3 linked regions of the Nothobranchius furzeri genome follow. The main gene of each other region encodes a partner of the protein of the gene in region 3 in a complex. Links are inferred from orthologs where the notes say so. Each region holds a gene or a part of one and is shown on either strand. Other genes may lie near its edges.

Region 1 (3,500 bases), on a different chromosome or scaffold from region 3:
AGCGTGTCAGAGGCGGACACGGTGTCCAGCGAGTGCGACGGCAGAAACGAGCGCTGAAAACGGTTTTTTACAATCTGTCAGACGGGAGAAAAAAAACGTCATTCATATGAAAACGTCCTCAGAAAAAACAGAAAATAAATAGTTTTCATTGGTTTGTTTTAATCGCAACCTGCCAAATTAAGAGATTTCAGAGAATAAGATCCCTGATATTCTAGATTTTCACCTCTGCCAGTCTGAGGTTCTCAGGTTTGACCCTCACACTCCTGGAGATGGACTCGAGGACTTCCTCTGTGCTGGAGTTCTCCTTACTCACACTCACCAAAAACTGAAGACAAACATTTAAATAAACTAACATTTATTTCATTATTACTAGAAATGTTAGCTTAGCGGTCTGGGAGTCGGTTACGGACGGTGTTTATTACGCAACACAGACACACATTCCGGAACGGCGAGGGAAACGCTTACCTTAACTGGTTTTTTATGTGGCTCCTTAGCAAAGTAAAAAACAGAGAGGACCTTTTGTTTCTGGGGCAACGGGACCGGGAGGTACAGGAACGGATCGAAGGTGATGGAGACCTGAAAAAGAGCCCGGTGAGCTTAACAGGAGCAAAACGTTAGTGAAGATCTTCAGAGGAGTCATCTGCTACCTTAGAGCACATGGGGCACACGAGTTTAGACTTAAACTGGCCTTGGAAGAGGTCCACGATGAAGGAGTCGTTCCTCATCTTGTGCCTCTGCCACGCCTCCTCTGCCACCACCTGCAGCATCCCAAAACAAATCCTCAGAGCAGTGCACACCAGTCCGTCCTTTCAAAGTAAAAGTTTTCAGTAAAGTTCAGCTGTTTCAAGAGAAGCCGACTCGCCTCATCGAGTCGTCCATCAGAGTCCACCGTCTCCGTGTACGGTTTAGTCTGGATGCGGTTCAAGTCCTCGTGGAGTCCGTCCAACAGGAACGCCATGAACTCCTGCGCGTCGTGTTGAGCGTAACCAGTGAACTGACTGGCTTTACTGGCGACGATCGCCTACGTGGTTCCAAAGGCAAGCAGAGACAAACGGGGACGTTAAACACAACATCCTGCAAACACACGTTTGTTTGGAGGAGCCGATCTAAGACCTTGAGCTTTGACGGTTGAAAGGCGTGGTGCGTCCCTTTCCAAAGAGCCCTGAGCAGCACAGCAAAGCCGATGGCGAGTCTTCCTCCTGTTCCCAGAGGGTTGCTGCAGTTGATTTCTGCTTCAAACGCTCGGTCTGCAGGAAAGCAGCAACACAGCTCAGAACACCGTCCAACCGGGATGTAAAGACGTACGACAGGACCTGGTTAATAGGGCTGTAGCGAAGCGTCGATGACGTCGACGGCTCGATTCTAAAAATTTGTCGACGTCAGATCTGGTAGTCGACGCACCACGCCCACTTGTTGCATCCCCAGGAGTTTGTAAATGGAGGAGGAATCTGCCCGTTTTTCCTCTAGTTCGCTCTCTTCTCCGCCTTCACTAACATCTCCACCAAATACCGAATACCCGGAACAAAGTCCGTCCACTACTAGATTCCTTTCCTGTTTTGCCCGCCTTCGTCTCCCGGCAACGGACAACAACTTCCGGGGTCAGATGCGCTGCTCCGTCTCTACCGCAGATGTAGAAAATCACCGGGAGCGTTTCTCCCTTCATAAAGGAGCTTCTTTCAGACATTAGGAGAGCTGTTTTTGTGGTAGCAGTCTCTCCTTCGTGCTGGTCTGTTTGCTGCTGGGTGTTTTTAGTTTAATTAAACTTGGTAACTTGAACTTAACGTTGGTAAAGCTACTGTTAGCATTTTGGCTAACAGCTTCTTGCGTTTGGATAAGCTGTTACGTTTTGGTTTAGAGGTCATCTTTTTTGTGGTGCAGATCTCCCTTTTATTACATTTAGTGTCGTGGGTTTTCGGTTTAGTGTAAAATATCACCTTGAGTTTGGTTTAACCGCCCAGTTTAGAGTTGGACCTTTGGAGATCCTTATTTTGGTCCAGAACCCAGTAATCTTTGCCCAGTGAGACATCCCAGGTTATTTGTACTTTGTTTTAATTCCCCACAGGCAGAATTAGTTTTATTATTCCCAACCTGTGGATGGAAAGATTTGTTTTTTTGTAGTTATAAATAAACCTGATCATCATTTTAACTTTTAAATCCCGTTATTGTCCCTTCCTTTTTGCACACGAGCCAAACTCCCCAGGAAGGGTCGTAACACCACTCACCTCACACACATAAGTGACCAAATCAAAGCAGCATGGAGACACTCCATCTTCTACCACCTCTCAGGCAGCAGCCTGCACTCCCAAGTTCTACATGTCACCAGAACATAACCAACCAACACAATAAAAGCAGTGTTATACAAAATAGAAGGCCTGTAGTATTTATTCTCTTACAATTTATCAATTTTTTGAGGAATTTATTTGAGATTTTCTGTTTTTTATTAATTGTGCAATAGAAAAATAATCGCTAGATTAATCGTCTAAATAGTCATTAGAATAGTCGACTATTCGATAAAATAATCGTCAGATTAATCGTTTACCCCCAGCCCTACTGGTTAACGAAATCATTTATGCTTCAATAACAGTAATACCCTTTGATCCTGTTTAAGATGAATTAGTCAAACTGCTGTCTCTTTAATCCGTTTCCTACTGGACCGAACATCTAACCTAACTTCTGCTAGAATTAAACCTGTTGAAGCAATCAAACTAAATGGAATGATAAATGACATTTTGTGTCATGGAACGATAACTAAATAAACATATTTGTCGCTGATTAAAAGGGGTCAACAGTATTTTACCATGGAAGTAATCCCGGAGTTCTCTGGTATTGGACAGGGACTGGATGACACTGTTCATGAAGCAGGTGTTACCGAGGTTGACCAATCCTGTAAAGCCAGGCAGGCACACCTTCTTCTCCTCCTCTTCCTCGTGGCGCTCCGCGGCAGGAGGTGCATGGGTCATAGGCTGCACCATGCAGGTAGGCTTGGGCTGCAGGAACACAAGCAAACACACGTTAAAGGAGGCATCTGTGTTTTTAGAGAGGAGAGGATCTGTGACAGACGAGCCAAACTGAAGAGGACAGATTATTTTCTACGGCAGTCTGAGAAAATCAGACGGTTGCACTAGTGGGGTCTGTTTTGTTGCAGCATACTCGGTGGTGTAACTGACTGTCCGACAGAAATAAAAGTGCAGACATCTTTTTTCTCTTCTCTCTAAATGTTTTCACTCATATTCTGGAAGAAGTCTTAAGGTTTTAGAGGTTTTTGTGGTGAAAGTGGACTTTCCTGGAAGACTCACGCACACGGATCCCAACTCTCATCCTCAGCTTATCCAAACAAAATGATCTTCCTGCATACTCACATTTAGGGTTGTCACGGTGTGAAAATTTAACCTCACGGTTTTTGTGACCAAAATTATCACGGTTTTCGTTATTATCGCGGTATTTTTTTTAACGTGTTACATTTTCAGACAACTAAATAAACCCTGTATATCAGGAAAATA
Region 2 (2,953 bases), on a different chromosome or scaffold from region 3:
ACAGCATGGGATCAGTCTGACAAATTTGTCAAAATTTACCTGAATTTGAAAGAAGTGCAGAAAATACCTTCAGAAAATGTGGAGGTGAACTTCACAGAAAGGTAAACTTGTGAGTAACAAATAACGTTTGCTGTGCTTGTTCATCATATGAAATATTTTTTTTAAAATCACATGTTGTCTCTTGCAGATCGTTTTCGGTGCTGGTCAAGGATCTAGATGGCAAAAACCATCAGATGACTGTTCTCAACCTGTTGCATCCAATCAGTGTGCAGGACAGCTATAAAAAGGTGAATAAAGCTTTTCTACATTAAAAAGCAGCTGTACGTTACATTTGGCTCAATTTTTTATGAACAGCTATCTACGAAGTTATTTTCATCACTACCCTCCTGACACTGTCTTCCCTTTTTTACCCATTCCAGATGATCAGGTGCATTTATTATTTCACTCTTCACGCAATTTTATGTAAGGAGTTCAAAATACATCCAAAATGCACATGTTTTATTGTTTATGAAATGACAGCAAATTAAATCACTATTTTTATTGCCCCATGGCTAAGTTTTTATTGCGTAGTGGTGCAGTTGTTAGCACTGTTGCCTCGCAACGAAAAGGTTGCAAGTTTGAAACTCGGCTGCTGCGTTTCTGCGTGGAGTTGCATGTTTTCCCCATGCATGCGTGGGTTTCCCCCACAGATCACAACATGCCCTGTAGATTTAAAATTGTACGTCGCTTTGGATAAAAGCATCTGCCAAGTAAATAATTAAACATAAACATTATTTTTCTTGTTTCAATAGTTCTGGTTCTTGGCAAGACAATAAGTTTAAATTGAGTCAGTGGGAGGAAACTATAAAAAAAATAAATGATTTTTAAACACAAAATGTTGTTTTAGCTCCAATTTGTAGAAATATTTGACTCCTTAGTGCCACGCAGTTCAGACTAGGGCCCTGTCCACATGTAGCCGGGGATCTGCCAAAACGTAGATATTTTTCTACGTTTTGGCCTGTCATCCACACGAAAACTGAGTTTTTTCACACAAAAACGGATCTTTTTAAAAACTCCGGCCAAAGTGAAGTTCTGCGTTTTCTCCGTTTTGGGTGTCTGCGTGTGGACAGACAAAACCAGAGTTTTAAGGTCCGCAACGTCACTGTCCGCGACAAAAAAAATGCTGACATCACGTGTGCGACCTGTGTTTACACTAGCCGACAGCATGGATGCCCTCAGAGCTGCGCTCGCTTTATCAGTTGTCCAAGCGCTTTTTGCTTGTTTGTTTTTGCAAGCGGAATTACTGCTCCTTGCGGAAGACCACAGACGACGGACGAGGTTAAGAACAGGGGAAGTACTGCCGCCTACAGGTCTGGCATGTCCTTAACAACGTATTTATCCGGGTATGTGTGGACAGAGGTTTTTTTTAAAACGAGGTGGTGTGGATGCAAGTTTTTGGAGGGACGGATATTCGTTTATAAAAATAAACGGCTACGTGTGGACTAGGCTTAAGTGTTGCAGCTACAGTAGCCCACACATATCAAAAAGGCAATTAGATGAGAATCGGAGAAAGGAGGGGGGATTTGCCTTGTTCACAAACGATCTTTGTTCTAGTGTGTTAGTCACATGTTGTCATTTGACCAGTCACAGTTGAAGAGACAGCACGCAGACACAGAACGGCGCTCACAGCGAGTATGAGTGCTGTCGCTTTAACTTCTCAGAGCGATTTTGGGCTTGAAAGTTCTTGGGGGGGGGGGGGGGGGGGTTACGTTGAGTGTGGTGTAAACACCATCAGTATTTAACCCCGTTAAAACCTAATGTTAGCAACATAAATACTTTTTCTGGTGAGAAATGGCCACCAGTATGCTACAGCCTTACTCGTTTAAAATAAATCCCAATATATTGATCTGGGCACCAGAAGATTCAGGGATGCTGGAGGAGAAACACGTGATGAGATAATTTCATAATATTGTAACATTCCTGCTGCATTAAAGAGTCAGAACAGCATTTTGCCCTTAGCACTGGTTTACTAAAGTAGGCAAGCAAACAGCTGAGATAAAGTTGCATTTACCTGCAGCTCCAGCTCTTCCTAAACATTAGGGCTGCACAATATATCACAAATATATCGTTATCGTGATATCAGCATGCACAATATGCATATCGCAAAGAACAGCTAAATATCACAGTGAATGGTCAGCCCAAATGTTTGCTACACATAATGCATTCTGTCAAACGGCGAAAGCATGATGTTTTTTTTTAACAAATCAAATAGAGCTCTTCATCCATTTGGCCAATTGGGTGGGTTCTCTTAGGTTAGAGTCCCGTCCTTGAGGCGGACGGCACTTAATTTTGATGATTAGCAAACACCTGAGTTAGCTTTGTTCTGCTCTTTTTGCTGATTCTGCTTTTCTTGGGATCCACTGATCGCCTTTTCTTGTTCATTTTCCCTTTCCTCACATCTTTAGCTTTTCTCATTTTTTAAATTTTTTTAAATTTCTTTGTTTTTGATTATTTTTGTTCCTGAGTTAATTTTTTAATTATCGCAAGTAATATCGTCATCGCAATATTAATCATTGTTATCGAATATCTCATGTTTTCCCAATATCGCGCAGCCCTACTAAACATTTAATCACAACCAACTCATCAGAGCATTAGCACTCATGACTCATAACAATAACCTCTTAAGGATGATTACAGTGTTCTGGAATATTTTCTGATGTTTTCATGTTTGGTGGTCTGAGTGTGAAGTAGTCCTATTATAATACTTCTTAATAAATATGTGATGTTTTTTTCTGAGCAGAGAGACTGTCCCTAATCCACTTTCATGTCCAAATGCAAACATGGAGCAGTATTAGTACAGTATTTTAAGATGGCGTATGGTTATTGACCCTTTGCACCGACGTCACCTAATCACGTGTGTCCACCATGGTGGACGGCAAAAGCATGTAAACAGTGAGCAACGCGATTACTAAAC
Region 3 (4,284 bases):
CATGCTGACTTGGGTCACGCATGAGACGGATTACATCAATACTGGTAACTTACTGATGATCAGAACTATTTTGGGTTTTAAAAACAGAAAATCTAGCTTCCCTCACATGAATCAGCAGCCATCAGTTATAAGCACGAGAACCTGCAGCTCAGATAAATTCACAATAACTAGTTATGAGAAGAGGGGGTCACCTCCCGGAGGCTCTGCTACTCACCTTCGTCCATAAGATTTCCAAATAAGGCTTTCGTCTGATCTTGAAATGAAGGGACCTCTGAAAAGACAAAAACACACAAATGTAAAACAAACTCAACTATCTGCTCCCTTCAGTTCAAGCGCTGATCGAGTCCAGATTCAGGTTTCATCCTTGCAGCAAAAACAAGAGGAGCTGCTTTTAATCGGACAATAAAATGTAGAAATAAAGAATGTGGTTAAAACTAAAGTCAGTGTTTGGACAAGGACACTTTAAGGCCCGTGTGTGGAATCAGCTCAGCAGCTGGAGGACAGCAGAAGACTCAGAACCTCTCAGCCACTCACCTGCTGCTAATGGAGCGTCCATTACAGGGACACGTCCATAATGGGCTGTCTGGTGACGCCAGCACATTTCATTCATATTTAACAAACCCAACGCTTCATTTATCTCTTTAATTTTTAACCTTTGGAGTTTCCTTTTAAAAAAAAGCTACACTTGGTACCCTCGCACAAAAAAAAATGCATTTTGGCAAAATGTTTAATAAAAAATTATATAACATTTCAAAAGTCAAAAATCTTTAACACAGATTCTTTCCTTAGCTTCAGTCCTCACCAAACAAAGTAAAATATCTGAGTGTTTTTGAGATCTGCGATGGACTGGCTCTCTGTCCAGGGTGTACCCTGTGCCCGTTGACCGCTGGAGATAGGCACCAACACCCCCACCCCCCTGCGTGGACAAAGCAGGTTCAGAAAATGGGTGGGGGGGGGGGGTGTTTTTGAGATTTAACCCCTTTAGTGCCATGTTTTGTCAAAAAAAAAAAAAAAAACCATTATAAAAATATAAAATGCTAAATCATTTGTGTGTCATGTCCAGAGGACTTTTTGGGGGTGAATTGTGAGGGCTCTAGTCACAAATGAGCATAAAAATATTTTTGGCCACACAATCTCCAAAACATACATTACTAGAGTGTGTTATAAATCAGTGCCATGCCATTTAGAGGAAAAAAGTAAAAATAACTTCAGTCCCTGGTGGCTGCAGGAACACAGTTGGAGTGAAATTTTAAAAAATGTATGGTGATATTTAGCTTTTTTTTATGTTTGAATGGGAGTCAATGGCACAAAAAATTTCTGTGGGACAATTAAAATTGGAATCAGATTTTTTCATTCTGATTCTCCTTTGAGTTCAGTTCCGAACAGTTCATCCTCTTAAAAAGGACAAAAGAATAACCACTGAGTTTGACGTCTACTCGTCTGTCCATCCTTTTGCTTTCTTAACTCAGCGATTGTCTCCGGGATTTTATGATCATGTCATGTCAGGATTCAACAACAAACCTGACCCAAAAACACAGACAGGTAAAGGTGTGTTCACACTGGAACTTTCCCCATTTTCTACACCAACATGTGATGGGGGGGGGGGGGGATTGTTGCATCATTGTTACACCATCAGGTCTGATTCCAATCACACCTAAAGTCGCACCAATTCTTCATAAATAACAGGAAATTAACTTTGCTACTTCAGTTTAATCCACACGAGAATCAAGACTGCAGAGACGTTGGGCATCAAGTCCTTCAGACTGAGGAGACTGAAGGGAGGACGTTTACCCATAATGCACAGCAGCACGTCTAGAGAAAATCTAACAGCTGATGTCAGCTGGTGGAGGACGGCTGGTGGTTTGGGCCAGTTCTGTGGTCCACCAGAACCTCATCTGAAGTTTGGACCTAACCGGCTCATAAAACTGGACAACGACCCCAAACACAGCAGACCTACAACAGAACCAAGGTGCTGCAGCGGTCCAGTCAGAGAAGCTGTGCCAAAATGCATCTGTGCAAACTGGATCAGAACTCTTCCAGAACCGCATGAGAACCGGATCAAATAGGCCAGGATTACTGAGAGTCACTGCTGGGGAGGACGGTTCTGCAGGATCGTCTATGGTTCTGTAGATTATATTCTAGATTAATAATCATATAGTTTGAAGCCCTGATAACAAAACCGGATGTTCTATTACAGAATAAAATCATCATTTAGAGCAGAGATGAAAACAAGCGGAGCTTCAACATAATCATGACTGACTGACACACACACACACACACACACACACACACACACACAAAGCTGTCTTAAAGCGGAACAGCTGAGCAGAAGGTGAGCTCCTCCCTCCCCCACCTCTGACCACAGCTGCAACACCACATTAGATCCATGAGTGGGAAAAGGAACCGCGTAGTTCCAGATAACGGAAGCACTTCGGGGGTTGGGCTCCTTCACCTTTAGGCGTGTGGACATCCCTCGTGGCGACACACGAGAAGAGTCGGAGCAGGGAGTTCCAGGGTGGAGACGGTAGAGCTACGCTCGCTGGCTTTGATTTCACTTGGACCAAAGACATTTATGCAGCGCCCCCCCGCCACATTCCCCAGACCTTTTCCACAGAAACCACACACTGCTGCTGCCCCAAACATCGGATCATGTTTCTTCCTCCTGCCCCTCGGATATGTTGTAGTAAAGAGACGAAGGCTGGGTCCACGCAACAGGAAACAAGTCCTCCAAACCCACTAAAAATAACAGGATGGGGAGGAAAATAAGCTACGAGCATGAATAATTCCTTTATTAGGTGGGAACTGCAGCAGTCTGTCTGTCGGGTACGAGCCAAACGAAAAAACAAAGACTAGGACGATTACACAAAAGGACGTGGAACCGCCGACACAGCGTCGTTTTCCGTTTCAGTAAAAAGCTTCATCCCACCACGCTTCCTCCAACACTGGACAATAATCCATGTGTGCGTTCCACCTCCGTGGCTCCTTGGGCCAGGTTTTCAGGAACTATTTGGCACCAAACTGCAGAAGTGTGTAAAAAAAAACTCTCCTACAAAGCGCTTTTCCAAAACGCTGGTTTGCAACCAAAATGAGAGCAAGACATGGTTCCAGCAGCAAAAAACAATTCCTTCACGGCGTTACGACAGGAATAATCAGAGCCCAGTGTTTCCAGAGTCTGAAGAGGAAAAGAAGGGAAAGTCCGAAATCTCCCTCCCTCCCTCCACCGGTGTTCATGGGGTGTCGTCTCCTGTAGTGACGTAGGTGTCGCGTGTTTGTGTAAAAGAGCCCAGCAGCCATCAGATGTCAGTCCAAACACACTCTTCCCTATTTTCCCATCAGACCTGTGATTTAACGGGCCTGATTTTCCCTTCCCTCTCTGTGCCTCTCACATGGTTATGTCAGCATAAAGCCTGCATATTTCACCCCCACCCCGTGCAGTGCTGTGGTTGTGCACGGCTCAGATTTCAGCCCGTCTCGCTGCAGGCTGCACCACCAGCTGCCCTCACTGACACCAAACCTCACTTTCTCACTGCTTTTCCTTTCCTAGTTTCACTCTTCTTCTCCCTCAGCGTTCCTGCTCCGCAGGTTAAATCATTCCCATTCCAAATGTTAGTCAAACCTCCGGGAGTGTGCCCCAGTCTCCACCTTAAGATTGAACTTTAAATGTTGTGTAAAATCCCCAAACTAAACTAACCGATATGTCCCAGCAGCAGCGCTGAAGCTACAGCAGGACACCATGATGTCACCATCAGCTCAGCCGAAAACAAACACTAAAGACTATCCTCCACTGTACCCTGCTGGGTCTGCATTCATGAGAGACGGGTGGTGATTTTCCAACATTTGAAGAGTCGTTTAAATACACGGCGTCAGAACCACCAGGTTGTGGTAACATGTTCCACTAAGTTGGTTTTAATGCCAGGGATGCATTTTCAACACAACACCTGCCTCCCAAAAGTCCTTCAGTGTTTCTGAGATTGTGATTTTACTTTCAACGCCAGCGGGTAGTTACACCTGCCAGCATACCTGGTGAGCACATCTCTAAACGGATCCACCTGACAGGTGAAAATCAAAACGTCCCGTTACAACTGGGGATGCACCGATACGATACCGGTATCGGTAAAAGTTAACCGATACCAATGCAGTTGCTTGAAAATGGCTTCACTGTAACTTGTCATTTCTGTTCACCTAATATTTTAGTTTTGTTATGATTTCCATTCATATATTTTACTTTTCATCTACCTCACAGTCTTTTCCTGTTGAAAGCAGAGAAGAAAATAAAATCTGTAT

Evidence for each region. The genes of interacting proteins can lie anywhere in the genome.
Region 1: the proteins of siah1 (region 3) and usp19 are in contact, whole or in part, in a crystal structure (PDB 4X3G), measured with the Homo sapiens proteins. The link is inferred for Nothobranchius furzeri from reciprocal best matches to the Homo sapiens genes SIAH1 and USP19. Residues at the interface, in NP_003022.3 of Homo sapiens: Cys130, Pro131, Thr156, Leu158, Gln159, Asp162, Ile163, Val164, Phe165, Leu166, Ala167, Thr168, Leu172, Val176, Asp177, Trp178, Val179, Met180, Asn276; in NP_006668.1 of Homo sapiens: Lys463, Pro464, Thr465, Cys466, Met467, Val468, Pro469, Pro470, Met471.
Region 2: the proteins of siah1 (region 3) and cacybp are in contact, whole or in part, in a crystal structure (PDB 2A25), measured with the Homo sapiens proteins. The link is inferred for Nothobranchius furzeri from reciprocal best matches to the Homo sapiens genes SIAH1 and CACYBP. Residues at the interface, in NP_003022.3 of Homo sapiens: Leu158, Gln159, Asp162, Ile163, Val164, Phe165, Leu166, Ala167, Thr168, Val176, Asp177, Trp178, Val179, Met180, Asn276; in NP_055227.1 of Homo sapiens: Lys59, Pro60, Ala61, Ala62, Val63, Val64, Ala65, Pro66, Ile67.

Annotation. Positions count from the first base shown.
Region 1 is NC_091755.1:48,425,433-48,428,932, reverse strand, and holds part of usp19 (ubiquitin carboxyl-terminal hydrolase 19), read right to left. Parts: intron 2,988-3,500; coding exon 2,798-2,987; intron 1,248-2,797; coding exon 1,114-1,247; intron 1,022-1,113; coding exon 863-1,021; intron 759-862; coding exon 648-758; intron 577-647; coding exon 466-576; intron 326-465; coding exon 224-325; intron 75-223; coding exon 1-74. UniProt on the Homo sapiens protein: Deubiquitinating enzyme that regulates the degradation of various proteins by removing ubiquitin moieties, thereby preventing their proteasomal degradation. Stabilizes RNF123, which promotes CDKN1B degradation and contributes to cell proliferation.
Region 2 is NC_091751.1:54,237,101-54,240,053, forward strand, and holds part of cacybp (calcyclin-binding protein), read left to right. Parts: intron 1-4; coding exon 5-101; intron 102-187; coding exon 188-287; intron 288-2,953. UniProt on the Homo sapiens protein: May be involved in calcium-dependent ubiquitination and subsequent proteasomal degradation of target proteins. Probably serves as a molecular bridge in ubiquitin E3 complexes. Participates in the ubiquitin-mediated degradation of beta-catenin (CTNNB1).
Region 3 is NC_091744.1:81,653,893-81,658,176, reverse strand, and holds the start of siah1 (E3 ubiquitin-protein ligase Siah1), read right to left. Parts: upstream 2,801-4,284; 5' UTR 2,571-2,800; coding exon 2,453-2,570; intron 272-2,452; coding exon 215-271; intron 1-214. UniProt on the Homo sapiens protein: E3 ubiquitin-protein ligase that mediates ubiquitination and subsequent proteasomal degradation of target proteins.